Arabidopsis thaliana: one gene and its partners. The protein of the gene in region 1 interacts with the protein of each later gene in a pairwise test. Each region holds a gene or a part of one and is shown on either strand. Other genes may lie near its edges.

Evidence for each region.
Region 2: the proteins of ARF6 (region 1) and IAA28 interact in binary tests that used the Arabidopsis thaliana proteins (3 or more experiments, as listed by UniProt).
Region 3: the proteins of ARF6 (region 1) and IAA8 interact in a two-hybrid assay, tested with the Arabidopsis thaliana proteins (3 studies listed by BioGRID, with this or other methods).
Region 4: the proteins of ARF6 (region 1) and IAA11 interact in a two-hybrid assay, tested with the Arabidopsis thaliana proteins (2 studies listed by BioGRID).

What each region holds. Positions count from the first base shown.
Region 1 is NC_003070.9:10,683,818-10,693,281, reverse strand, and holds ARF6 (auxin response factor 6), read left to right. Parts: upstream 1-2,293; 5' UTR 2,294-3,245; coding exon 3,246-3,288; intron 3,289-3,374; coding exon 3,375-3,493; intron 3,494-3,578; coding exon 3,579-3,677; intron 3,678-3,770; coding exon 3,771-3,827; intron 3,828-3,911; coding exon 3,912-4,067; intron 4,068-4,151; coding exon 4,152-4,236; intron 4,237-4,325; coding exon 4,326-4,416; intron 4,417-4,499; coding exon 4,500-4,664; intron 4,665-4,745; coding exon 4,746-4,868; intron 4,869-4,948; coding exon 4,949-5,024; intron 5,025-5,116; coding exon 5,117-5,264; intron 5,265-5,345; coding exon 5,346-6,583; intron 6,584-6,664; coding exon 6,665-6,855; intron 6,856-6,940; coding exon 6,941-7,157; 3' UTR 7,158-7,460; downstream 7,461-9,464. UniProt on the Arabidopsis thaliana protein: Auxin response factors (ARFs) are transcriptional factors that bind specifically to the DNA sequence 5'-TGTCTC-3' found in the auxin-responsive promoter elements (AuxREs). Seems to act as transcriptional activator.
Region 2 is NC_003076.8:9,029,263-9,035,958, forward strand, and holds IAA28 (indole-3-acetic acid inducible 28), read left to right. Parts: upstream 1-3,941; 5' UTR 3,942-4,217; coding exon 4,218-4,345; intron 4,346-4,536; coding exon 4,537-4,848; intron 4,849-5,111; coding exon 5,112-5,176; intron 5,177-5,269; coding exon 5,270-5,292; 3' UTR 5,293-5,878; downstream 5,879-6,696. UniProt on the Arabidopsis thaliana protein: Aux/IAA proteins are short-lived transcriptional factors that function as repressors of early auxin response genes at low auxin concentrations.
Region 3 is NC_003071.7:9,633,164-9,640,300, reverse strand, and holds IAA8 (indoleacetic acid-induced protein 8), read right to left. Parts: upstream 3,922-7,137; 5' UTR 3,664-3,921; exon of another isoform or gene 3,494-3,663; 5' UTR 3,425-3,493; coding exon 3,404-3,424; exon of another isoform or gene 3,196-3,403; coding exon 2,678-3,195; intron 2,581-2,677; coding exon 2,351-2,580; intron 2,255-2,350; coding exon 2,113-2,254; intron 2,027-2,112; coding exon 1,965-2,026; intron 1,886-1,964; coding exon 1,842-1,885; 3' UTR 1,556-1,841; downstream 1-1,555. UniProt on the Arabidopsis thaliana protein: Aux/IAA proteins are short-lived transcriptional factors that function as repressors of early auxin response genes at low auxin concentrations.
Region 4 is NC_003075.7:14,139,299-14,145,677, forward strand, and holds IAA11 (indole-3-acetic acid inducible 11), read left to right. Parts: upstream 1-2,836; 5' UTR 2,837-2,989; coding exon 2,990-3,249; intron 3,250-3,703; coding exon 3,704-3,972; intron 3,973-4,064; coding exon 4,065-4,197; intron 4,198-4,288; coding exon 4,289-4,350; coding exon of another isoform or gene 4,351-4,379; exon of another isoform or gene 4,380-4,440; coding exon of another isoform or gene 4,441-4,445; coding exon 4,446-4,630; 3' UTR 4,631-4,671; downstream 4,672-6,379. Other genes in the region: ABCB23 (ABC transporter of the mitochondrion 1), read right to left, coding at 38-1,597; AT4G28650 (Leucine-rich repeat transmembrane protein kinase family protein), read right to left, coding at 4,857-5,272, 5,353-6,379. UniProt on the Arabidopsis thaliana protein: Aux/IAA proteins are short-lived transcriptional factors that function as repressors of early auxin response genes at low auxin concentrations.

The DNA of each region.
Region 1 (9,464 bases):
TTCAGTGTGGGGGAGGGAAGGGTAATTGCGTGTAGCGATGGAACACCGTAAGTACTGTGAAAGAGACCAATGGAAGAAGCCCTACTCTCTCGTTTTTAGTATTATGTCACGTCCCATCTCCAACTCATGTGAGTGCCCACTCGTAATTTTGATCCAACGGCTACGATTCATTCCTTGTTTTCATAACCATCATCGTACACCGCTCACTTCCTTTCTTTCTAGGGACAACCATACACTGTCCTATTCTTCTTCTTCTTACGCATATAATAGTATCTACATAACTATTTTGACGTCGAAAATCTATCCTATACGTATTTTAATAATATATATTACCCGTCAATTCAACTTTGTATATATCGCCGACAGAAATATATTAATACATATTCGTATATACATACCGGCTGTTCTTAATAAAGAAAGATTTCGCTTTTGAGAATCTTGTGACCCAATTCAAAACGTATAGAGTGGTGTGATAGCTAGTTAAAAGAATTTGACCATTCACAAATTCGTTTTGGTTCATATCAAAATTGATTTCCATTGCAATACGAATACGAGAATGACAAAAGTCAATGAATGATTTTGTAAGCAGAATTGATCAAGTATGACTAAGAAGCACTATTTTGGCCGCCAGGAAACTATGTTAGGAACATCATTACAAAAATTACAAATCTACGCTTTGTTATATACATGACATATAATCGATGATGCCTTCAAAATTAGTTTCATATTGAAACATAACAAAAATTAATAGTTTAACATGATAATTGACATATGTTGATTATACTAAATAAATTATTTGTAAAATAGGGGGGAGAGAGAAATATGAAGTAACAAAAACAAAAAAGAAAAGAAATGAGAAGATGTCTCTAAAAGCGAATTTTTAATTATTTATTACTCACCTAGTCACCTTATTTGTCATTTTTAATTTTTTATGTTAAGTAATTCTGAAATCTTCCATTGTTTTCACTAAATTCACCCATAATTCTATATATCCATTTTTTAAAACATAACTTGTGAAATCTAGTGTATATAATAACTAATAACTGTTATATTTTTATATTTGTTTGTGTGGGAAAATGTTAAGTAATAACTGTTATTTTGTATAACATGTTCTCTGTATATAATAAACAAGCACTAGGGTACTAGCTATAAGCTACGTTTCTAATTTGTCGCAAATTTTTAAGGTTTTGCTTAAGAATTAGTTGCATAAACAAATGCTAGTTGGATACTTTTGATGCTGATGTTTTATGTACGTATATCACTTTCTTGCATAAAAACACATTAGCCGAATTTTCTAGCAACTGACAATAATGCAACTGAATTTAATACAAATAAATAAATAAAATCTACAAAAGATATGGCGATGGTACTGATCTATTTGTATATAATGCTGTTTCCAACGTTACCCTTGTTTACGTCAAGAAGTTGCACGTGCCTTCTTAGGGCAGTCTTGTCATTTCCCCTAGGTAAATGATCACTATCTCCATTGTTTGGAATCAAAATTCATGTTCTCTAAATTTTTTTCTTTCTTTCGGATAAAATTATCTAATTAAAATTTATTGGAATCTTAAGAAAAAACACGTATATTCTTTATTACAATATATAGCTGAAGAAATCAGATTCGCAAATTTCCAAACGAGGAAGTGTGTATTATACATATATATTACCAATTATACCCTCTTCTACATGCAATTCGAACTACTATTATATACATAAAAAAAAAAAAAATAGAATCAGGAAACCCTAAAAGCACGTCCTGTCATTTTTATCAGGTGATTTCACTGTCTATATATATTGACTTATTGCTATATTCTATATAAAATAAATTTTGCTGTAATTCGCACACTTCCATTTTCACATTACACAATCAAATAATGAGGCAAAATAAAATAGCCAATGAAAGAGTACTTATGTACTCCAAACAGAACTTTTAAACCTTGACCAGTAAACCAAAGGATTTCTACAGCAATGATATTTTTCCTAAAACAAATTGATTCATTTTATTTGCAATAGTTCACTAAAACTCTAGTATAAAAAAGCCTTTGGTCATCCACTAGCTGAAAAAAATCTACAACAACACATAATTTTTATAAAACTACTATGACAAAGAAAAAAAAAAGAGTAAGAAATACGATCATGTAATACTATAATATATGATGGTACCATAACGTATTATTATTTTTTTTTTTTTCCTTTGTACCATAACGTATTATTAAAACCATAATAGTACTCAATTTTAATTACATGGACGACGCAACGAAGTTTTGAAATTCGGGAGAAGCATAAATTAAAAAAAGGCACGAGTCCCAAACTGTAAATAAAAAGGAAATAAGGGGTAAATTAGTAAATTAAGTGTCCTTTCAGAACAACAAGTTGCTTTAGAAGAAAATCAAAGACCCGCTCCGTTCGGGTTCGGGTCAAAAAACAGCCATTGTCGTTCTTTCTTCTTCTTCTGATTCTCATTTCAAATAAGAGAGAGAGAGAGAGAAGTAAGTAAAACTTTAGCAGAGAGAAGAATAAACAAATAATTATAGCACCGTCACGTCGCCGCCGTATTTCGTTACCGGAAAAAAAAAATCATTCTTCAACATAAAAATAAAAACAGTCTCTTTCTTTCTATCTTTGTCTATCTTTGATTATTCTCTGTGTACCCATGTTCTGCAACAGTTGAGCAAGTGCATGCCCCATATCTCTCTGTTTCTCATTTCCCGATCTTTGCATTAATCATATACTTCGCCTGAGATCTCGATTAAGCCAGCTTATAGAAGAAGAAACGGCACCAGCTTCTGTCGTTTTAGTTAGCTCGAGATCTGTGTTTCTTTTTTTCTTGGCTTCTGAGCTTTTGGCGGTGGTGGGTTTTTCTGGAGAAACCCAAACGACTATCAAAGTTTTGTTTTTTACAATTTTAAGTGGGAGTTATGAGTGGGGTGGATTAAGTAAGTTACAAGTATGAAGGAGTTGAAGATTCGAAGAAGCGGTTTTGAAGTCGGCGAGACCAAGATTGCGAGCTTATTTGGCTGATGATTTATTTCAGGGAAGAAGAAATAAATCTGTTTTTTTTAGGGTTTTTAGATTTGGTTGGTGAATGGGTGGGAGGTGGAGGGAAACAGTTAAAAAAGTTATGCTTTTAGTGTCTCTTCTTCATAATTACATTTGGGCATCTTGAAATCTTTGGATCTTTGAAGAAACAAAGTTGTGTTTTTTTTTTTGTTCTTTGTTGTTTGCTTTTTAAGTTAGAATAAAAAATGAGATTATCTTCAGCTGGGTTTAATCCTCAACCTCATGAAGGTAATTCTCTCTTTTCTCTCTCTATTGCTTTGATACTTCTAGCAAATAGTGATTTTAAACTAACTTTGTGAGTTTTGGATTGAAAGTTACAGGAGAGAAAAGAGTTCTTAATTCTGAGCTCTGGCATGCTTGTGCTGGTCCTCTTGTCTCACTACCTCCTGTTGGAAGCAGAGTTGTGTATTTTCCTCAAGGTCACAGTGAACAGGTTTTTGTCTCCTTCCTTTTATGATTTGGATTCAAATCTTTCCTTTTTGGTTACAGGTTACTTGAGAATGTTTTGTGGTTTTCAGGTTGCTGCTTCGACCAACAAAGAAGTAGATGCTCATATACCAAATTATCCGAGCTTGCATCCGCAGCTTATCTGTCAGCTTCATAATGTTACAATGCATGTAAGGAACTCACTATCAGTTTTTATGACAAACTTTTCTAAGTGTCTTTTCTGTTTGTGTGTTAGTTAAGAACTTGATTCCTTACCATTTCAGGCTGATGTGGAGACTGATGAAGTCTATGCACAGATGACTTTGCAACCGTTGAATGCGGTATGAGACTTTACTATGTAATTCATAATTAATTTTGTGGAATTTGTCGGTGTTTTGAACCTTCTTTGCTTGGTTTGAATGCAGCAAGAGCAAAAAGATCCTTACCTTCCCGCGGAATTAGGTGTCCCAAGTAGACAGCCTACAAACTATTTCTGTAAAACTCTGACTGCTAGTGATACAAGCACTCACGGAGGTTTTTCTGTACCTCGCCGAGCTGCTGAGAAAGTTTTCCCTCCCTTGGTAATTCATCTTATTGTTCATATGAATTCTACTTTCAAGATTAGCTATTGCCTCCTTAACAATAAAATTTTATGTGTTCTTCAGGATTACTCGCAGCAGCCACCAGCTCAAGAGTTAATGGCGAGGGATCTGCATGATAATGAATGGAAGTTCAGGCATATTTTCCGAGGTTAGCTTTCTTCGTGAAAAATCCAAGTTCTTATTAATAGCTGAAGAACAAAGAGATTTATTTAATCTGTATTTGTTTCTGCGTTATAGGCCAACCAAAGAGACATCTCCTTACCACGGGTTGGAGCGTATTTGTGAGTGCTAAAAGGCTTGTTGCTGGTGACTCTGTTCTTTTCATCTGGTTAGAAACATCTTTCAAATTGGGGTTTTTGTTTAAGTGTTACATTCAAATCATGAAACTGACTCAAGTATTTGTAATGCTAGGAACGATAAGAATCAATTACTTCTTGGTATAAGACGAGCCAACCGACCACAAACTGTCATGCCTTCATCTGTTTTGTCAAGTGACAGTATGCATTTAGGCCTTCTTGCTGCAGCAGCTCATGCTGCCGCTACAAACAGCCGATTCACCATCTTCTATAACCCGAGGTATCGTCTTAAGTACCTTATGAATGCACTTATGTGTTGATTCTCTTCGTTTTGCATCAAACGGATTCGGTTTTTCTGCAGGGCGAGTCCATCAGAGTTTGTTATACCCCTGGCTAAGTATGTGAAAGCGGTTTATCACACTCGCGTCTCTGTTGGTATGCGGTTTAGGATGCTGTTTGAAACTGAAGAATCTAGTGTTCGTCGGTAGGTGAATTATCAGAGTTCCTATAATTTACTCTGCTTTTTGCTGCTGAATGTCCTTAAGAATCTTCGTTTGTTGTCAGGTACATGGGTACAATAACTGGCATTTGTGATCTAGATCCTACTCGTTGGGCTAATTCGCATTGGCGATCTGTCAAGGTTTAGCTCAAAACCAAACCTTTAGTAGAAAATATTCATTGGTCTTTGCATTCTCGTATACATATATCATTCATCATCTGATCAAAATGCAGGTTGGGTGGGACGAATCTACTGCAGGAGAGAGACAGCCAAGGGTTTCATTGTGGGAGATTGAGCCTTTAACAACATTCCCTATGTATCCATCTCCTTTTCCTCTCAGGCTTAAACGGCCGTGGCCTCCTGGTCTCCCATCTTTCCATGGTATTGTAAATTTCAAAACTTTAACAAATCTCTGAAAGGTTTCTATTTCTAGTCTTTTATATCTTCTAATTTTGGTTGCAGGCCTTAAAGAAGATGATATGGGTATGAGTATGAGTTCACCGCTTATGTGGGATCGAGGACTCCAATCTCTAAACTTTCAAGGTATGGGAGTAAACCCGTGGATGCAGCCGAGACTTGATACGTCGGGCTTGCTTGGTATGCAAAATGATGTGTACCAAGCAATGGCTGCAGCTGCCCTTCAAGACATGAGAGGCATTGATCCTGCAAAAGCTGCTGCTTCACTTCTTCAGTTCCAAAATTCGCCGGGGTTCTCAATGCAATCTCCGTCCTTAGTGCAGCCGCAGATGCTGCAGCAGCAACTCTCTCAGCAGCAGCAACAACTCTCTCAGCAGCAGCAGCAGCAGCAACAGCTCTCCCAACAGCAGCAGCAACAGCTCTCTCAACAGCAGCAGCAGCAGCTCTCTCAACAGCAGCAGCAACAACTCTCTCAGCAGCAGCAGCAACAGGCGTATCTTGGCGTTCCTGAAACCCACCAGCCTCAGTCTCAGGCTCAATCACAGTCAAACAATCATCTTTCTCAGCAGCAGCAGCAAGTAGTGGATAATCATAATCCGTCTGCGTCCAGTGCTGCTGTTGTTTCCGCTATGTCTCAATTTGGTTCTGCTTCTCAGCCCAACACGTCACCACTCCAGTCCATGACCTCTCTGTGTCATCAGCAAAGCTTCTCCGATACCAACGGAGGAAACAATCCTATTTCTCCACTTCACACTCTTCTCAGTAACTTCTCTCAAGACGAATCTTCTCAACTGCTCCACCTCACTAGAACAAACTCTGCAATGACTTCATCCGGTTGGCCATCAAAGCGTCCTGCAGTTGATTCATCGTTCCAGCACTCTGGAGCCGGTAATAATAACACTCAATCCGTATTGGAGCAACTGGGACAGTCCCACACAAGCAACGTTCCTCCAAACGCTGTCTCGTTGCCTCCATTTCCCGGTGGTAGAGAGTGCTCGATCGAGCAAGAAGGAAGCGCCTCAGACCCGCATAGCCATCTTCTCTTTGGAGTCAATATAGATTCATCTTCTCTTTTGATGCCGAACGGAATGTCAAACCTTAGAAGCATTGGTATTGAAGGTGGTGACTCCACGACTTTACCCTTCACATCATCTAATTTCAACAATGATTTCTCGGGTAATCTTGCAATGACAACACCTTCTAGTTGCATAGATGAATCGGGTTTTCTACAATCCTCAGAAAACCTCGGTTCCGAGAACCCACAATCTAACACCTTTGTGAAGGTAAAGTTTTATTTCTTTTCCCTACCCAAAATGTTCTTCTTGTTTGCATGCATAGCGATGATTCCGGAAATGTTTTTGTAGGTGTACAAGTCAGGGTCTTTTGGAAGATCGTTAGATATATCAAAGTTTAGCAGCTACCACGAGCTGCGAAGCGAGCTTGCTCGCATGTTTGGCCTCGAAGGCCAATTAGAAGACCCTGTGAGATCAGGCTGGCAGCTTGTATTTGTTGACCGAGAGAACGACGTTCTTCTCCTCGGCGATGACCCTTGGCCGTGAGTTTATTAACTTATCCCTCATTTCCGCATTTGGTTTTGTCCATTTCCATGTTTATTTACCTGCATTTACCATTATCGACAGGGAGTTTGTGAGCAGCGTGTGGTGCATTAAGATACTGTCACCACAAGAAGTGCAACAAATGGGAAAAAGAGGCCTTGAGCTTCTCAACTCCGCGCCATCTTCCAACAATGTCGATAAGCTCCCGAGCAACGGGAACTGTGACGACTTTGGGAACCGGTCAGACCCGAGGAATCTCGGTAACGGTATCGCATCAGTTGGGGGTTCATTCAACTACTAGAAGTAGATGGAAACCTCCCTTTTTATTCAAGTTAAGTTTCAATCTTATAAATTAGTAGTGAGATCATCTTAGTTTAATTACTAGCAAAAATCTCTCTTTATTACTTATAAAAAAGGGAGATTTGCCTTTGCCTTTGATGGAAACAAAAACTATATAATCCCTCTGTCGACTCGTAATACTGTAATTATAAGATCTTTTGGTCTTTTTCTTATATGAATATTTTTACTGAACTCTATATATGTCACTTTCCTTACTCATTTCTTCAATCAATATGATAGTGAAGGGTTATTTTGGAGTTACATTAAGACTTTGTCTGACTAAAATGGTCCACAGAGAAAGTGATTTGGGTCCCAATCTCCTTATTGGAAGTGAAAGCGTTTTGTGGTTTTGTTGTGTGAAACACCAAAATATTCCGACCCGCAATTTGGGGCTTTACCCTAAAATTAGATCTCATTTTGCGTCAGCAAAAACTTTATCTCTAGACACGTATCGATCCGTAGTTCGTAGGACATTTTTATTGGTAGGTAAATTAATATATGCCCTTATCGTTTATAGTAAGTTTTTTTTTTCACAATATCGTTTATAGTAAGTTTAGTTTTCACCAAAGAATATGAAACGAAATTTGTAGAATGAGTATGGTTTTTGTTTGCGTCTTCATGTTAAGATAATTAGAATATTATAACATGGTAAAAAAGGAAATCTAACTCCTATTAACTTGAGAAAATAAACGTCATTTCGATAATTGATCGAAATTGTTGTGAATTTGGAAAATATCTTGCAATATAACTTTTTCTTGTTCGGTTTTATCGGAATGGGATTAGGTAAGTTATGAAATGGGCATCATTTGAATAGTATAAGAAGAATTTATGATTTAGTTTGGTATTTGATATTATTTTTGTTTGGTTGTCCATTAGGATATATATATAATAGAGTGACCAATTAATTGAAGACCATGTTTTATATATGATATTTAGTCAAAGAAATAACAAATCTGATAAAGAGATATTTGTAAGTATTTGGTTTTGATGTGTGGTGTATGAATGTGACTCACATAAATCTTTAGTGGTGGGACTATATATTCTAAGTAAGAAATTGGAAATGGTTGAAAATAATGTTGGGTGCATGTGGTAGGGACATTTATAGATGACACAAGTTAGGGCACTTTCATGAGCCCTAATTAAATAGTGCATGGTGACCCATCATTCTGAAAGTTCTCACCTTCTTTCTTTTCTTTTCTTTTTACCTTTTTTTCTTCTTTTAAAAGGTATTTCTTCATCTTACAAAATCAATTATTAATTTTAGTTTCATAGGATGTAGTAGCCATTCATTACATGGTTAAGAATATATTCAAATGAAGATCTAAGATCATAGCTTTTGTCTACTACACATAGAATCGTATGTCTTTTCTTGATAGATGTCATAACTATATAATTTCAATCTTATTAGAATTTCATGACTTTAATATCTAGAATTCTTGTTTGTTTAATTTGGGATTAAGTAGCTGAAAGTGGACGAATAAAACTCTTTGAGTTCATTAATTCAAAAACATGCATGAGTGCATTACTCTATAATTAAAATTATTTTCATTGATGAATATACATTGGAAGAGGACATGATCAGTCCATTGTGATAAGATCTTATATATAGCCGTAATTTGATCTTAAAAGGAAAACGTTTCAAGCTTCAATAATTTTGTTGATCGAATGGATAACTTGTTTTAAAGTTTGCTATTGAAGACCTTACCTTTATCTAGTAGTACTATCTCTAATTCGGTCTCATTACCAAGTAGAAATAATCAAATGATATTTGCACTGTTAGTTCCATAAATCCAGTGTTCAGAATCAGAGTACCACCGTAGTAGAATGGAAATAATATCCTAAATTTCTATATCTAGATGTATAAAATTTAAAATGAATATAACCAAAACAAGCTTTTAGCGATAAGGGTTTTGAGTGGATATGTGAAATTTGTTATTGTGCGACTATCTTTCTCATTTATCTCTTTTAAAAACGACGAACAGAAAACGTCAAATGTGATATTATTGATTGTCTAAGCACTTTTTGAACAAAGTAAATATAAAGGCACTTTTTGAGTTGTAAGACCAAAGAAAAAAATAAAATTCTTTGGACCATCCTTTCGTTGTACTAACTACTCTGTTACCATTTCACTGAGTGATCCCTTTTAACATATGTAATTCTATTTTGTAAGGATGGTTTCCATGCGATGGTACAACCATGCATTGTTAACGAACGATCCAATCTAGAATATTATATGTCATAACTTCCACAAAACTACACAACCTAAGCA
Region 2 (6,696 bases), on another chromosome or scaffold:
ACTTCTTCTTTTGGAACATATTATTTGCCATTTTATTTTTATTTTTATTTTTATTTGTTTTGCTATAAAAATAACAATATAGAGATTTATCCGTCTAAAATTACGTTGATAAAATGTTTAAGTTAATTGGATTTTAGATGTTTAAAATTCTTTTTATATTGTTTAGCTAACAAAAAGCTGATAAAATTTATATAACTCTTAATTTGAAAATTTGTATTATTTATACATTATTTCTACCAAAATGTTTTGAAATATATTATATATTGATTCGTACATATATTTTTCTAAAATTATTAGATAATGTATGATTGAGCATAGATAAATTTAGTTTCTCAGATTAGTTAGCATTAACCTACGCATCATATAAATTATTTTATGTTGTTAACAAAGTAACACACATATTTCTAAACTAAATTCGAGTTATAACAAGACAACAAACTAATCTATATTATTAATTGGAAAGCATTGTATGAACTACAACATTCTAAGAGTAGTTTAAAATTAACTAAATGAATCTTTGCATAGGTAATTTAGTAAATTAACAACTACAACAACTAAATAAATATCTTGGATTTTGTTCTTTTAAAAAATTGAATTTAAAATCAATAAATTCATAACTACCCGATATTTTTGGAAATCATTTAAAAACATTTCCATAACATATCAGGCTATTTTAATTCGAATTGTATATATGAAAATTTATTTATTTTGGTAATATGTTATTAGATAATTCGGAAACTTTAATCTAATTTAATAACAAATTATCATTTAGTTTAGATTTTAAACAATTTCTTTAACAAAACTATGTTAATTGTTTCTCATTAGTACACATAAAAATACGATTTTAGTTATGATTTAGCATATTCAAAAGATAATTTTTGGATTTTAGATTTGTAAATATCTAGAAGATATTATCAGTATAGATTCAAATATTTAACATTTTAATTAGAATTTAAATGATATAAACTTTTAAAGGATTTTTTTAAACATGTAATTTTCATTATTTTAAAAATATATCGCTAAGCTAAATTTGAATTATATGAAAGAAAATATATTTTTAAACGTATTATAATAGATACAAGCTTTTAGAATATTCATTCTTCTAGATTTGATTTTTTTTTAAACAATAAAACAGAGTTTAAAATACCAATGTTTAAAATTTTTAATGCAAATATTCAAAATGAGAAAATATTGATTCACACCAAAAATATTTTTTCTTTTAAATTTGAATGACTTTTTTTTAAGAACAAATAGTAATATGATTATTTTGACAGATCAATAATTGTATTCGAACAATAATAACTACCATATTTGCGATAATGCATAAGGATAAGTTTGATCAAAAAATACCAAAATTGTTGAGATTATAGTAAATTTTAGATTGAAAAAAAACGCAATTCAGATTAGTTTATTCAGTAAAGCTAAGATTGAATCCAAATTAAAATCTAATTTTCCGTACAATCCATCTCTTATAATTATAAATGTTATGCATACATTCACATTGCCTCACAATCAATCTAGAATATCGATTCTTTAAAACAATATATAGAGATTCATAAGTAAAGTACTTCATATTCTAATGATGTTTATCTTCTAATATTACTATCCATCTATGCGTATTCTTATGGATTTTTGTTTCAGGGTCAACACTAGATTATAAGAAACTAGATTATAGTTATACAATCTTAAACAATAAACAAAACAAATATAACTTAATTTAATTTTTTATTTTTAACTAAAATCAACTAATTTAATAGTTTATAAAAAAACCAAATACTATTATTTAACATAAAGACCAAATACTATTATACTTTAATTATAAAAACTACATCTTATTGAAAGGTATACACTAAAAATTGGTTTTATATACTACAATATCATAAATTTGTAAATCACAAATTATTTTTAAATATATTAATCCAAGATGTACCACATGTCGATCCGTCGATTTTTATATATATTAGAATAACAATATTTAAAAATAACAAAATGATTTTCATTTTACGGAATGAAGTTATATGGTGGAACGAGTTTGGGTTGATATTAATACGGGACGATAATCTACGAGTAAAATCTTAGAATTAATAACTATAACATAATTATATAATCTTAAACACTAAACAAAATAAACAATATTTACAAAACAACTATATCTTAAAATTTGAATTTTTAGTTACAAAAAATCGACCAACGGTGTACCGCGGAGTTAAATTTACATTATATCATCTAATTGATCAAATTTCAAACAAAAACAATCAATTTATATATACATCAAACTAACAAAAATACACAGATTTTCCAAATATCTCTATATATTCAGCAAATCCAAACAAATCTAACAATATATTTACCATGCAAAATATAAATAAAATATAAATAATATAAATTAATAAAAAAAGTTAGCTATTTTATCATAATTAACACTGTACACTGTTCTATGCATATTATAATTTATACACTATAATATTTTTAACTAAAAATGTATTCCATTATATTTATATACACGTATGTGCAGGGTCAGAATCAAGTAAAAATTACACTATAAGCTCTGTCATTATTAGTGTGATGATTAGTCATGGTATATTGGTCTCGGACTCTCGGTTAATTAATATAAATCGGCTGAAGAAATTGTTTTGCCCCGAGTTAAAAAGAATAAAACAAATAGGTGATGACCCATGAAAAAAGGTCAAAAGACAAAAGAGAATTTCTAGATTGCCACAAATTTCTAGACAAAAGACACAAGATAAGTATAAACCAATTCAACTATAAGAAACTGTGAAATAGCCACAAATTTTATGTGTCTATTTCAACAGTTTTATTTGTAGTATTTTGAGCGTTGACCCATTTTAGTTATTTTCACTAATCAAATTACAGCTTATTTGATTATATGCCATAGCTATTAAGTTTTTTTAAGATTGAGTTGAAAGATCCTTAAACCATCTTGATATATTTCTAAAGTTATACTTGATTATGTTTAAGATGACTTTTCATGGGTTGGCAATTTCCGTAAATCAATCGATTATGTAACTTGAAAAAAAGGACAAACATTATGGAGGCCAAATTAGAGTAACAAAAACCAAGTTGGTAGTGGACTTTTCGTGAAAAAAGAGAGAATTTGTAGTGGAATTCTAAGTATACATACAATTAATATTTGCAGTACTTATATATCAAATAAAAATAAACAGAAGAAGGTTAGTAAACGAAAACCTACTACTTTACTCCTTTTATTGGTAGGTACTCATTTAAGCATGCCTAGGAATCTCTTTCCTCTTTCTTGTTTCCTTTTCTATGTCGGCCTCTACTCTCCAAGAATGGGTGTGGAGATGATCATATGATGACTATGTTGATGATCACATGATGACACAACCATGCATGATACATTTCTTTGTCTCATGAGTCACGGTGACATACATGAATTTTCTAAAATACATGTGTTACAAATGTCATGCATAAGAGAAGCAATTGTACATAGTTTATATGATTATAGTTTTCATTTTCTAAGTAAGAATAGCATTCATTTTCATTTTTCAATATGATTTTAATTCATGTCACTAGCTAATAAAGGGGTATTACTAATCACTGTTATTTATATATCTCTTTGTTTAAATTGGTTTATGTGTATGTGTTGGATATTCATTTTGACTTTGGTGCTATGGTAGCATTTTAGTTCTTTGGTAATTTTCGGTTACCCACATCTTTTTGGATCGAATTAGAATGATAATGGACACGTCTAGACAGCGTAATAATTTGGTGATTACATCTAAGATTTTTGGAATCATATGTTTTGTAATTAATCAGAGTTATTCGGTAGTATGAGACCCCACACGGCTATGAACCATGTTACCATATATTCTAAGTGGGTTTTTAATTTGATAACCACCTACCTATAACTCTAAATTAGTCTATTGGATTTTTCTAATGATCATCATATAAATTTATTCTCTTTATATAATAGTAATCGTTGTAAATAATATATGTGTGTCTCCCATCAATCCGCATCACATTCGTAGAATCATACACGTATGTAAACGCATTTTTGACATACGGAAACCATACAAGTAGGATCTGTTAGGTGGTTATTAATTCAAAATAAAATCTCTTTTCATTAGAAAATATAAAGAGACTACTTTTATAAAAAGATTGGGATTGTAGTTCCTTGCCAACCACCCATATAATAATACTCCCCAACACCAAAAACACAACACAAACTTAGAAAAATGGAAGAAGAAAAGAGATTGGAGCTAAGGCTAGCTCCTCCTTGTCACCAATTCACTTCCAACAACAACATCAATGGATCTAAACAAAAAAGCTCGACCAAAGAAACATCATTCCTTTCCAATAACAGGTTCTCTTAATCTCTTCTCATGAATGATTTGAATCATTCTTGTTCATTGTAGATGTCTTATATGATAATAAAATAAAAATAAAAAACAAAATCCTGGTAATTCTACAGTTTTCGGAGATTAGTTTGGGTTTCGGTATCTAGTTATCAAAAAGTATTTGTGTATATGTTATAACTAGATATGGCTAAAACAGGGTTGAGGTAGCTCCAGTGGTGGGATGGCCGCCGGTGAGATCATCCCGGAGAAACCTAACGGCACAACTAAAGGAGGAGATGAAGAAGAAGGAGAGTGATGAAGAGAAGGAATTGTACGTTAAGATCAACATGGAAGGAGTTCCAATAGGAAGAAAAGTCAACCTTTCAGCTTATAACAACTACCAACAGCTTTCACATGCCGTTGACCAACTCTTCTCTAAGAAAGATTCGTGGGATCTAAACAGACAATACACTTTGGTCTACGAAGACACTGAAGGAGATAAAGTTCTGGTCGGGGATGTTCCTTGGGAGTAAGTTTTAAATCAAACAAAACTAATTCCATTTTTTTTTCTGGAACTGAATATGAACTTACTTTATCAAAAATTCATTTTATATCTATCTACTTTTGTTTTTGTCGAATTTAACAAATATTTTTAGTATGAGTTCCTAAAAAGAGTTTGGCCATTTCTCATCAGATTATTATTTTCCTTTAAAGGTCATATTTTTGGATATTTATCTGATAATAATTTGAATCATTGGACATATTAATGATATAGTTTACTTTATTTGTTAGGATGTTTGTATCTACTGTAAAGAGGTTGCATGTTTTAAAGACCTCCCACGCCTTCTCACTCTCACGTAAGATTACAATTCTTACGAAACTTTTTCATACATCTCATCACTTAATTACTGCCTTGAAATTAACTTATATATTTATTTATTTTTTCACAGCTAGAAAACATGGCAAGGAATAGAGAGAGGTTGGCCAAAATCATCAGTTCGATGGTTTGTTTTTAATGTAATTTTTGTGGAAACTAATGGGGTTTGGCTTTGATTTACTGGTTTTCTTTTTCACTTATGTACTAGGTTTTTGCTTGCTATGTTATTTCTTGTTTTGGTTGTAAATATGCTGTTCGTTTAAGAAATCGGGGGTTAGTATGTTATCGTGTGTATAAAAATAGTGTAAGCACGTAAGTTGATTACAATGCCTGATATGATTCATGCCTTCGTTTCGTTTTTTAGTAGGGAAAATGGTATTTAATTAGCGAAATCAAACCGACTCATTTTATGTTTTTTTCAGAGAGGTAAAAATCCAGAGAGCCTGTTTACTATGTATGAGTAAAGATTACCCGAAATAATAGAGAAATAGATACAAGAGGCTATCCAAGTTTGGTGGGTTCGAGTTTTATAACACCATCCAAAAAAAATTGTTGTTTTGTAACACACATGAGTACCAATTGTTTATTTCACAAAAGACAAACCATTTATTTCATGAACTGTAATCTTGTTATGTTCATGAATTATTTCGGTATAACATGTAATTAACTCGAGTAATATCTTAAAATAGTATTTAGAGTAAAGATAGTAGGGAGAAAGATACTTTATTTTTTTATAACTCATATAATTTTAAAAATTTCATACACCCAAAAATTGATTATGGAGTATGGAAAAACCATGTTAAATTACTTAAATTTTGGTGGCTAATACTACTCGAACTCAGATGGTGAAAACGACTTTAGACTTCATTAATATAAATATATATATATATATATATATATATATATATTTATATGAGTTTTTACTTATTGTCAATTGGTTTTGGAATTAGTAATCTATGAAACTTAACATAGTATCAGTCTATCAGAGGTTGAACATTCGCTGACCCGTTAATCCAACTTGGAAAATGGTCCGATTACCTCTACTAATTGATGATCCAAAGAAAAACTCAATTATGTCGAGATAGGTAAAAAAACATTATTTTAAAAGAAATAATGAATTTAAAATTAGTAAATAAAATTTAAAATTTAAAAATTCTCCTATAAATTTTGTGTCTCACAACTTTCTTTCAAACTTTTTTTCTTCAAAAATATACCGTATGCTGATGAAATTTTTATCTTTACCAATTAAGAATATAATCTTTTGTTTCCATCTCAAATCATCATCATCACCTCCAAAGCGTTTAGCAACCCCAAAACCAACCACTTGGCGACTACACAGTATTTTACTCAAAACATCACAAGTTTCTATGAAACGTAAAACGATGAGTTTAGTAAAAAAAAACTAGAGATTATAGTCAGAAAAACTATAATAATAAGAAGATAACATTAAACGGATAGATTCATGTCTCTTTTTTGAAATCCAAAATTGGGTAAAATCCA
Region 3 (7,137 bases), on another chromosome or scaffold:
TGATCCACAACAACACTACTAATAAAAGCTACAAAAATATAAGTCTAGTTTATGTAAAAATGATTTTTTGAGTTTCATTGTAGCATTCAATGTTCAATAAATCGGTTTAGGCGGCGACTAGACACCCGCTTAGGAGTTCATGAACCTTCGAATGCCCAATTTTAAGTAAAATTAGCCGCTTAAGTGTCTGATTTGTTTTATACAAAACATAATTTTCAGTAAGTCAAAAACATTAATCAAAAATAAAATAAAAAATACTTGATTACTAAAATTGTAAATTATGAATTAACTATTTTCAAAAAATTTAGTTTTTTTTTGTTAAAATGTTTTTAGGACTGAACTATTCTAGTTTTCATATAAACCAAGTGTGAATATATATAATAAATTCAAATAGATGACATTTATAACTTTATATATTTTATAACCAATGTTTTGATATAAAATTATGAAAAATAAAATAAAAATGAATAAATAATATGTTAACGTTTAGGCCTCGCTACTCTCTTTGAGTATTGGTATTATTACCAAAGTCAAATATCATAAGCTTCTCTAAAATTAATTTGATCAATGAAAAAAAGAATTAGTGGTTCATATGAAAGAAAAGCATTAACAAGACATATGACTGTGACTGATATAATTGTTCTTACGAATAGCAAAACAATCAAATTTGAAAATAAAGTCAACGATGAAGTGCACTAACCACAAACTCATTTAGAAGTGCTACATTTGTGCAAATCACTGAGTCCCATTTGATAAGACTAATTTGACAGCTGATGTCGAATATCTAAAGAAAATTAATACTCTTTTAGATGTAGGGAAGAGGGAATTAGAATATGAATACTAACATTTAAGAAAAAAAATTAACTTCATATAAAGTGAGAACTATATATATTTTGTAGCAATACATGTATTGTATTTTATATATCAGAAAAATAAAACACATAAATTGCAAATACAAAAATAAATCTTGGTTTTAGTTTATGAAACTTTACTATAAAATAAAATAGTGTGGATAAATTTGGAGCTCAAAGATAAATAAAATTAGATGTTAGTAAAAAAAAAATTTACAAATACGAGTTAACAGAGCTCACAATTCTCAAAAGAAGTTTGCTAAAATTCAAATTTTTATGCGTCACATTCTTTTATTATCTTTCCTTCGTTTGGGTAGCTATGTTAGCATCTACCTCTATTAGAAGTATGAGACTATAAATTTGTCAAACTCTATTTTGCTCACTACATAAATGTTCTCCTTTCTCTCTATCTCATCCACTCTTGCTCCACATGTATTTGATATGCCCTCTATTTCGGTAAGGTGAGGTTTATTTATCTACTCTTCCTACTCACCAGTCTTCTTTATACGTTATTATATGTATGTTACAAAAAAATCGAAAACAAAAAAAATATATATATGTAGTTACATTTTTTTTTTGTTCTTCTAGTATTTAATCTGTAAGAATATTGTAGAAGACACTATTGCGATTAGTCTAAAGCTTATCCAGATTTACACACTTTCATGTTTTAAAGATAATAACCATCATTTGAGATTCCACTTTGTGTGGTTAAAGGTTCTTTATCGTAATTATCACTTATAGACTTTGGTACTAAGTGCTAACAATAAACAAATCAAGATTTTGCGTAGAGACGAAATATCTTGAAGGTCAAAGTAGAAACACACACATAAGAATGTATTTGTTTTGAACAAGCACACACAAATAAGAGAATCCAAAGTCTTACAACACAAATTAGTAAAAAGACTAAAGAGTTTTCAAACACATCAGTAAATAAAACTTAAACATTGGAACTGTGCATAGTGTTTTTTTTTTGTCTTGAGCATCTTCGTTTCAAACCCGCTCTTTGTTCTTCGATTTCTCCACTGCACCTGGAGCTGCCACAGAATAAATCAACAATGAAATGAGCCATTGAGTTTGTATTCAGATTAGGGGGAAAGATGTTGGAAAACTTACCTAAGCCAATAGAATCAGAACCCTTCATGATCTTCAGTTTCTGGCATGTTTCAGTAAATATCCTGCAAATAGGTTTTAACAAGGATTCAACTTTTGAACGGAAACAAAACCACAGTTATTAAAGCTGAGAGTTCCAAAAGAAGCTTACTCCCATGGAACATCGCCAACAAGCATCCAATCACCGTCTTTATCTTCATAAGTAAGCACAAATTCTGATCCATGAAGAAGATCCTTCAGTTTAATCTCGCTCATTCTTTCCCTCCCTTGAGCACCATGAAGACCACATTGACCTGAGATCACAAACAAGAATCGAAATCACTGTTCTTTGGTTCATTCTGTTTTACAGTAGAATCAATGATTAGCTTAAATACATAGTAAATTCTCACCAAGGGTGAAGCAGCTGAACATTTTCTCAAGTGCAGAAGACAACTGTTGATAGGAAGTGTAAGTTCTCAAGTCGACCTTTCTCAGATACGGAGCACCATCCATGCTCACCTTCACAAACAGAACACCAAGACCAGGTTTCCCATCAACCTCATCAGTGTTCTTCGAAGTAGAAGAAGCCATTGTATTCTTCCGGTATGATCTGATTGGAGGCCAACCAACAACCTGTGCCCTGCAAAACAATAGACACAGATTACCACAAGATTCGTTCTTGACTCATAAACAAACTCATAAACAAACTCATAAACAAATCATCATATAATACACACTTGGCAGCTGGTGCATTGTTCAAGCCACCCTTAGCATGAGATCTTTCTTCTTGAATACTCTTCGAGACATCCTTAACTTTCGGCGACAACATCATGTTGATTCCTCCTCCAGGTCTAACAGATCCTTTCACACCCGAAAACTCATCCCAAGTGTCAGCAAATCCTCTCTTGTTACCAGAAACAACATTCTTATGCCCTGTAGTAGCAGAACCATTGTCTTTAGAAGGTAGCAACGGGAAGAGAAGCTTCTCATCGGGTGTTCTCGGACTCAGCAAACCGAAATCAGTCTCTCTCTCAGGAGATTGAGACTCAGGAAGACCTAGCCTCAGTTCAGTAGCTTTGAAATTGAGATTGCTCTTCCCAACAACATTGGGAATAGTTGAGCTATCAACAGAGGAACAATCAGAGAGACCCAAGTAGTTACGTTCTTTCAAACAAGGTGACGTAACCAGTTCATCCTTATCCACACTTAGCAATCGATAAGACATCAGATCTTCAATATGCAGGACTTGTTTTATCTGCTTAGCATCACAACAACAAGAAGAACAACCCAAAATCAATCTAATTACATAAAAATCTTCACTTTCTATAGATGCATGAACAAAATTCTCAATTTTAAGAAGAACCCAGAAAAATTAGGGTTTCAGATGAGAATTGGGTTAGATTTGCTTAACAAGTAAGATAAAGTTAGAAACTTTAACCTAGGTTTCATAGCCAGAATTCAACCTTATCGTTCCCAGAACTCATCTTCCCCAAAATCAATCACTTTCCATTCAAAAACCAAAAATTTCTTACTCTAACTTCTTCAGCATTTCCCTAAAATTCAGAATCACAACTAAATCACTTACTTACGAGAAAAATAAACTAAACCCAAATGATAATGAATCCAAAGAAGCTACAAGAACCAAACAAACAAACCCAGATTGAAAATTGAAACTAGAGAAGGAGGTTTCAATAGTTCCTTTTAGAGAAATTGAAACTAGTACCTGAAGAGAGAAGAAGAACAGAGTACGCAGAGGATCAAACAAACACTAGAAAGAGAGAGGATAGTGAGAGAGAGAAAATGCACGAAGGGAAGCAGAGAGGTCAAGGTCCGTCCATGGAAAATGAACCAGAGAAAGCTAACAAAAGCGCAACAATCAAGAAGAAGAGAGAAACAAAAACATGGAAGGAGTGGTAAATTTAGTAATAAACTACAAAAGTAAGGGTATTAAGGATAGATTAGGTTTGTTCGTATGTGGTGTGGAGTACTGTAGTTAGATCTGACGGTTGAGAATGAGTAAGTGAGAGTGATTCTGAGTCGTTAGATCTAATGGAGAAATAATAATAAATACATGTCGTTGTTATAGGTAACATGGTTTCAGGTTTCTGTTTTGTAAGGAAGCTTAAAAAAACATGAAAATATTATTAATTTTAATTTGATTTATATATTTGAAATGACTTTTTTTTGTCTCTGTTATTCTTTTTATTTTATTTTGTAGGTCCACAAATAACATGCGTGTGTTTATTATATTTTATTAAAATTATTATATGGTTTTAGCAATAAGTAAAATCAAATCAGATTGTTTTATGGTATATTTTCTTTTGTTGTTGTTAAAATGATTTAGATAGAAATGGGACCATCCAATATTTAAGAGGCTGAGTGGTCTAAAATACCTATAAATTTAATATGTTTTCCATTATAATCAGAGTTTCAATAGTTATGGGACCACGTATCGGTTTAAATTTTGTCTGTCTAAAAATATGCATACCGCCAATGAAAATTACAATGGATAAAAAAAAAGTAAGACAGAGCATTTAACAAGTGGTAAAAAATGAAAATTTACGAAAAAGAGTGTTAAATATTCTTCTACTCGTTTATAATTATGGGCTGAGAGCAATTAGCAAAGGAGAGTGATGATACGAGAGAGACAAGAAAGCAGCAATTGAACTTTGTTTTGCCGGCTGCTTAATATGCTCTACTTTTGGTGTGGTATAGTTATGAAATGTACAATAATAGATACCATAATTTAAGTAGACTCACAACAAAAATCAATGTATAATTATTTAGTTAAACTAGTGAGGAGATTGCACGAGGAACAAAATTCTAAGAACACAATCAATGTGAAAATGAGAGCAAATGAAAATAGAAGTGAAGAGTTGTATATTTGAAGAAGAAGGTCATGATCAAAGAGACACGTTGGAAGCACGCTTAAAGAGAAGGGAAACAACCAAATCAGGCTTTGCAGCTTCACTGTTGTTCACATGCCTGTCACCTAATTCCATCATCACCCGCGCTCTTCCTTTCTTTCACATCATACGTCACCGTCCCGTAGCTATACCATTTATCACCCTCTTGTCTCCCACTCTTTTTATTGTTCTTGTTTCTTTTTTTTATGTTCATTTTTTTCTCACTCGAAGGTTAGATTATATTAGAGAACCCATTATATTACTAAGATTTTTTTTAATGTTCATTACTTCATGTTTTTTTGTCTCTATAAACAAAATTCATTCTGTTGTTACTAGGGGTGTCAAAATGGGTAACCCAACCCAACCCAACTCATAATCAAATGAGTTTATGATTAAATGAGTTATGGGTTGACCCAACTCATTTTGTTAAATGAGTTGGGTCTAACCCATAACTCATTTCATTTGATGGGTTGAGTTGTTAAATGGGTTAACCATTTAAATAATAATTTAATTAATTATTATTATAAAACAATAATAAATAATTATCATCATCATTAATTCATTATTATTAAATTTGAGATATTTATTGATTCAGAAATTTTTACGAGTTTACATTTTTAGACGGTAAAATTACGAGGTTACGTTTTGTGACGGGAAAATCACGGGGTCATGTTTTTTTGGCGGGAAAATCACGAGGTTACGTTTTTTTGGCGGGAAAATCACGAGGTTATTCTCATCTTCTAGTGTAAAGTAATCCCACATATCTGATGTTCTACTTCTTTTAAAACGAGAAGCACTTACTAAACTTTTAGATTGTGATGTATCTGCTGATGTTTGCCCACCTTCACCACCATAAGTACATTCGTCTTCATTGTCCATTTTTTGTAAAAGATCAGCTGCAAATAACTATACATAGAAATAAGGCCAAGTTAGAGATTGCTTAATAAAACCTGTTATTAGCCAAATACAAGAATTAATCACATAGACACAGTCAAAGAATCAATAAAACAAAGAGAAAAGAAGACTGTTTTGGACAATACGACAAGCATATGACTAAATACGATTTTTGTTAGCTCACATCAAAACAAAGAGAAGGATATGACAATACGGCAAGCATATATCTTCTTTCAGCTTAAACCCTTTACCGAAACAAACACATAACAATTTGGCAATCACATCAAAACTATCAGAAGTAACTAATCCCAGAACTCAAACTTCATCGCTCAAGTACCACAAACTAGAAGAAGACTAGTCTATTAAAGGTAGAGCCATTCAAATAAAGTGAAAATTAACCATATAAACAAGCTTCAGAACTCTAGAGCAACATTGAATACGCTTCTACCATCACTTAAGTTAGATCCTGAACATGATTAAGAGCTAAACAACACTAACGCATACAGAATCTGAACTTTCACGCCAATTCGAATGAAGAAAACGAAAAAGTAGTTAGAAATGAGAAGGGTCCAGTGGAAACATACCTCACCCTTTTGACCCACTACAAGCACATCATCATCGTCGTCTTCAATTGAAGCAGTCTTCGTCGTCTTGTCAGTCTCCGATGTGGATGAGACCGGTGGAGAGTATAGGTCGAAGTGGAGGTCGAGAAACGATTGATTTTGTAAATTTGGGGATGATTTTATTAAATTGGTTTAGATGTGTTGGTTAAATATTGGTTTAGAAATTTTAGTTGGTTTAATTCAATTTTACAAAATTTGATGGGTTAATTGGGTAAACCACTAAAACCATTAACCCATTACAACCCAACTCATTTTACTCATCAAACCAATTGACTCATCAACTCATTTGACCCATCAACTCATTTGAGTCAAAAATTTCAACCCATTAGGGTTCATGGGTTGAGTTGAGTTGAGTTGACCCATGAATTTTGACCCATTTTGACACCCCTAGTTGTTACACAGTTGATTTTATTGGTAATATGCATAATAATAGCGGAATGACATTTTCTAACGTAATTATACAAAAAAATTATCAGTCAAAAATATTTGCATAACATTTAACAAAATAGAAAATTTGTGTTTTCACCTAAAAACACTAGTAACAATTCATTATACAAATATGTAGATATATACTTGTTTATGATATAAAATCTTATTCCGCATTTTTGCAAATGTATCTAATCGACACAAATTTTTATTTTACAACTTTTCATTCTGCAAAATTTTATTATACAAATAGAGTCATTATGCAATTACGAAATATTACCAATCAAATTTATACAATTATTTTTTGATTCTTGGAGATTCCTGACCAAATCCTAAGCTAATTTTCAC
Region 4 (6,379 bases), on another chromosome or scaffold:
ATGTAAGAGAACAATTCTAGTCAAAATGGCAACTTACAGTATCTTGAGGGACAACTCCAATGCAGCTTCGAAGACTCTCTAGTGTCACTTCCTTTATATCTTGACCATCAATCCTAACATTACCAGAATCTGTGTCAAAGAACCTGAAAATCATTCTAAGAATCGTCGATTTGCCGCTTCCGCTACTACCAACAATCGCTACACTTTTCCCTGCCGGTACCTCAAATGAAATCCCATCCAAAATCTTTCTCTCTGGCAGATAACTAAAATGTACATTCTCAAAACTGATGCTTCCACCTCTCAGAACAAGAGGAGGTAGCTTTGTCTCTGTATCTTTATCTCCAATATCGGATCTCTCCTCTAGCAACTGGAACAATGATTTCATATCAACAAGACCCTGAACGGTTTCACGGTAAACACCACCGAGAAAGTAAAGAGGAAGAGACAATTGAAAGAGAAGACCATTCACCATCACCAAATCACCAACTGTCATCTCTCCATTCATAATCCCTTGAGAACACAACACCATTGATGTTGACAAAGCTGTACTAAATATAAAACTCTGTCCAAAATCTAAAAACGCAAGACTCTTCTGAGTTTGCAATGCAGCATCTTCATATCTTCCGAGTAAATCATCGTACTTTCTCGCTTCGTAATCTTCGTTGTTAAAATACTTAACAGTCTCGTAGTTTACAAGAGAATCAATAGCTCTTGTGCTTGCATCATTATCAGCTTGGTTCATAGCTTTTCTAAACTTAGTTCTATACTGTGTCACAACCAATGTGAAAGCTATGTATGATCCAACGGAAAGAGAAGTGATCAAAGCAAAAACAGGTCCAAAATTGTATGCTAATATACCTGTGACCATTGATATCTCCAAGATCGTTGGAACAACATTGAAAACCATAGCAGAGAGGATCGTGTTAATCGCGCGACTTCCACGGTCAATGATTCTATTCAAAGCTCCTGTTTCTCGATTCAAATGGTAACGAAGATCAAGATCATGTAAATGCGAGAGCACTTTACGAGAAACAGATCGTATTGTGCGGAGAGATACTTTGGAGAAAACAGCAGTACGAAGCTCGTTAAAAGCTGAAGATCCAGATCGAGCAATGCCATAGCCAATGAGAACGGAAGAAGGAGTAGCGAAAGCAGCAAGTAGATAAGGATTTGAATCAGTGATTGTTGAAGATGAATATGAAGAGAGTAAATCGATAGATAATTTGAAGAGGAAAGGAACTTGAACATTCAAGAACTTAGCTCCTATGAGACACGCTAAAGCAGCGATGACTCTGAATCGGAGTTCTGGGTTGTCTTTCATCCATAGATAGCTTGAAATCGTGCGGAGGATCTTCTTAGATGATGCTGTTTTGGTTTGATCTTGATTTGGAGTTGAAGTTGAAGTTGAGAAGAAGAAGACTCGTGCGTTGACTGGAGATGGAGATGGAGATGGATCGGTGAAGAATGCATTGATAGCTGGTGATCTCTGAATTGAGCTACGTTTGATAAAACTGGAGAAACTGTGATGGTGATGATCAGAGCGAAGACGGTGATACAGAGAAGCGCGAGAGAGGAGAAACCGAGATCCCCTCATCATCGCTTCTTGTCCGAACGAATCACATACAATTTGGTCTAAATCGATTCTTTAATTCTCTGTTTTGTTCTCTCTGTACTACAGAGTAGCTTAACAAGAAGACGAGGAAGAAGATATCAACTCGGAAATAACCGGTTTTGGTTTTCTGTTTTTATTAAGATAATGAAATTAGCTATCTCGGAGATAACCGGTACTGGTTTGATTGCAACTGGGCTTGAGAGAATCAGATACGGTGGTACACACCGCAGCGAATCTCAGAGTATTCATTCTCTCACATGGACTCTTTCGAAAATTCAACTCTTCTACTATATGCAATTAATTAAAAAATTGAACGGTTTATTTGGAAAGTGAAAAGAAGCAACGGTCGGTTATGTCTTCCCTCCAGACGACAGGGTTTTTATTCGGACACCACTAAAAATGGACAGCTAAACTCCTTTATTGCCTTAAAAATTCAATTTTAATTACGTGATTAAAGATTAGATTGCCACTTGATTTTAAAATACTAATTAAACCTATATAGTGATGGTATCTAACTATCAATAGCTTTAAACCGGAACTAATCAGCACCGTCCGATTTGGAAAGATGGATGGACCAAAGGACGTGTGGGCACGAGTCCCCCCTCTCTGTACACGTGGGTCCCACTAAGCCTTCTAAGTAATCTTTTTCTAGCCGTCCGATTGAATCCCATGAAGCTGACATGTGAGCCCCCACTTCTTGAAAATATATATTTGTATGAATTTTGTTTTTATTTTATTTTCCAGCCTTTTAAAAATGTTTTTATTAATACCACGGATACTACCGTTTTGATATCAAATTTTCTTTGAAATCTATCCGATCTTATATCAGATTTTGGAGTCAAATACCAACTACAAAAATCTGAACATTAATACAATAATATACATTTTGAAAAATCATGTTGTCCATTATATTTTTTGGCATCTAATCCTATCGTTAATTGATTATAAGTTTATAAATATATTACAACGGAATTTCGCATAATTGTAAAACTTCCCTATATAAACTTACGAAAAATTGAAATAATTATACCAAAAGTCCACATATTTTATTTTAAAAACTTACATAAGTGGATATTGTTAAAAGAAGGAAAAAAAAAGAGTTTCTAGTAAATATAGTCACGGAATAATGTGAGAAATTTATTATTGGATCAAAAAAATGATAAAATTGGGCGAGAAATAAGACTAAAAGTTAGGGAAGTGAAAAAGAGACAAATCCCACCCGTCGTGTCTTCTTGTTCATCCTTTGTTTCCCTTTTTCTTTCTCACTGTTTCTGCCTTACTTAAAGTCTCAATCTTTGCTTCAAATTCAACCCATCTCTTTTTCCTCCCTTCCCTCACAATCAAAATCTTAATTCTCAGCTTCTGGTTTTGTCGAAAATGGAAGGCGGTTCCGCTAGTGGATCGGCTTCGGCTTTGTCAAACGATGAAAATCTCGTCGTTTCTTGTGAGGATTCTTCTTCTCCTATAGGGAATGAGCTTGAGCTTGGTCTTACGTTGAGCCTTGGTCGCAAAGGGTATCGAGATTGTAGGGTTTACGCTGATGATTCTTCTTCTTCTTCATCATCTTCTTCTCTGAGCAGAGCTAGCGTAATTGCTGGGATCAAGAGGACAGCTGATTCCATGGCTGCAACTAGTGGGTGAGTGAAATTCTCTTCCCTTTCCTCTTTTACATTTTGATCAATTATGGTTTATTTGGGGATTCTTAATATCATGATTATCAATAGAACTATAAATAAAGATTTGATTTTTGCTTTTTATGGTTATGGGATTGATTAGACAGAATGTCCTTGATCACAGTTATCTGAAAAGATTCGACCTTTGTTACGTATAGATGACTTTGAATGTATCTTCCTGATCATTAGATAGTTTGCTTTGGTCATTATATCTTCAAATTGAATCTTACTATCGTTTTCTAGAGATGACAGTTTTTTTCTTCTTGGATTCTAAAGTATTTATTAGCTTTGGAGAGAAAGTGATTAATCCTGTATAGTGATTCTCTTGGTATCTGATTTTACAAGGCCCTGAAGTGTTTATAACCCTTTTTATGTGTTTACTCTTATTTGAGCAATTTGAAACCTTTGAAAATGGCAGGCAAGTTGTGGGATGGCCACCAATAAGGACTTACAGAATGAACAGTATGGTTAACCAAGCTAAGGCTTCAGCCACTGAAGATCCGAACTTGGAGATAAGTCAAGCCGTAAACAAGAATAGAAGTGATTCAACAAAGATGAGAAATTCCATGTTTGTTAAGGTGACTATGGATGGCATTCCTATTGGAAGGAAAATCGATCTGAATGCTCATAAATGCTATGAATCATTGTCAAACACTCTAGAGGAAATGTTTCTGAAACCTAAATTAGGTGTGCTTTTCGAATCTCATGGCCTTTTTTTTGGTTCCTTTGAAGTTGGTTCTTGGTATGGGAAATGAAGTTATGATTCTTTCTTTAATCAGGTTCACGCACACTAGAAACCGATGGTCACATGGAAACACCGGTCAAGATACTACCAGATGGGTCTTCCGGATTAGTACTAACGTATGAAGACAAGGAAGGAGATTGGATGCTTGTTGGCGATGTTCCGTGGGGGTATGCATACATATGTTCTTATGCTTTTGATGCTTTGTCCCGTGTAAGCGTCAAATTCTGAAGTTTGAACCTGAGTTTTACTTGTGTCTAGGATGTTTATTGGTTCAGTGAGAAGGCTCCGGATAATGAAAACATCGGAGGCTACTGGTAAAGGTACATTTACTGATTCGATCAAATCCTGATATCTGTATTAAAATCATTGTTTTGTCGTTGTGACCGTGTTTGTGTGATCCTTGTTTACAGCTCAGATGATATTATGAAGCAAATAATAATCTACGAAGAACCCTTTATGTTTGAAGCAGTAATAAGACAGATCACAGATCAAAGAGAAGACAAAAACATTGTAAGAAGCTTCTTCTTCTTCTCTCCCCTTTACAGTTTCTTTTTTGGCTCTGCCATTTTTCTTTTAGTTAGTTATATGTTCTCTTTGTAAATCACACTTTAAAAATCTATAAGAAAACCCTTTCTTGCACAAAAACAAAACGGTTCAGAGCAATGCACAAAGTTAATATGATCATGTAAAACAAAGGAAACTTATTCTACATGGAAAAATTAAATCAAAAGATACATATCTCTCTCTCTTTCTCTCTTTCTTCTACATACAGAACACGAATCGAACGAATCAGTTTATCGGCCTCTTTTGATTCTTAAATCTCATACTAAAGAAGGCCATTTACAGGTGAAGTACTAAAAACCGATGAATGTTTCTCGGCCAAGCTACGACTAGTGTTCTCTTCATTACTATTACTTTTCCTCCTCGGTTTAGCCTCTCCGAGCATCGATATCACATCTCTCATCGAAGGTCTGTCTTTCGGGAGCTTTGTAGTGCAGAGAAGAGCAATCTGTAGAACTAAAAGCATCTCTTCTTGCACATATCTGCAGTTTCCTACGTTAGGATCTAATGCTTCTTCTAGTGATATGTTGTCTCTTATCTTCCTTCTCACCCACTCCACAATGTCTACTGATTCTCCAAACTCCGGTTCCAATGGTCTTCTTCCGGTTAACAGCTCCAATAGTACGACGCCGTAGCTGTATATGTCTATCTTCTCATCCACCTTCAAAGTGTATCCATACTCTGCAAATGATCAACCATATGTTGTTAGACTAAACCGGATTGTAATCAATTTAGTAATCGGTATGGTATTTAAACCTTACCGGGAGCAATGTAACCGTAAGAACCGGCGACCATTGAAACGGTTTCTTTCTTCCTCGCCATCATCCTGGCGAGGCCAAAATCGGCGATTCTGGCGTCGAGATTCGCGTCGAGCAAGATATTGTTGGATTTGATGTCTCTGTGAATCACCGGAGGATGACAATCATGGTGGAGGTAAGCGAGGCCGTGAGCTACACCTAACGCGATGTTGTAACGCGAAACCCAATCAACGAGAAGTCTCCCGGCGGCGTTTTTGCCGTGAATCGCATCACCAAGGTTTCCGTTGAGCATGAATTCATATACGATCATCATGTTTTTGTCGTTGTATAAGAACCCTAGGAGCCTCACTATGTTTCTGTGTCTCAATTTCCCGAGGAGGTTAACTTCGCCTACGAAATCTCCGGTGGTTCCATCTTCAATATCCGCGGCAGATCTCCAGAGCTTCTTCACGGCGAGAACTGTGCTTGATCGTGACATTTCTGCTTTGTACACGATTCCGGTTGCTCCCATTCCGATCATGTTTGATTCTTTGATACATGCCAAGATATCGGAAGCTGTAAACCCTAATCTATGAAACGCCATTAATCTCCAAGGCCATTCACCTTTGCTCGCCGTCTCGTCGCCGCAGAATCCGTTAGAATACCATTTCTTGTACAGAGTTCTCGTAACAATGGTGAGAATCCCTAGAGCTAGAACCGATGCTATCCCAATCAACCATCCGGCGACAATTCGTTTCCCGTGGAGGCTACTGTGACTCGATGTTGCTCTTTGGAATTTACTACACGGTGGTAGAACGCCGCCGCAGAGACCGGAGTTTCCTCTTAGATCATCTGGATTTATGGTTTTGAGAAAGCCGTTGATAGGGACTGGACCTGTGAGCTTGTTGTATGAGACGTTTAGGAGTTCCAGAGCTGGAGATGTTCCGATGCTCTCTGGTAGTACTCCGGTTAAGGAATTGTTGGAGAGATCTAGCACTGCTAATGCAGACATTGTCGTGATCTGTCTAGGGATTTCGCCGGTGAGGTTATT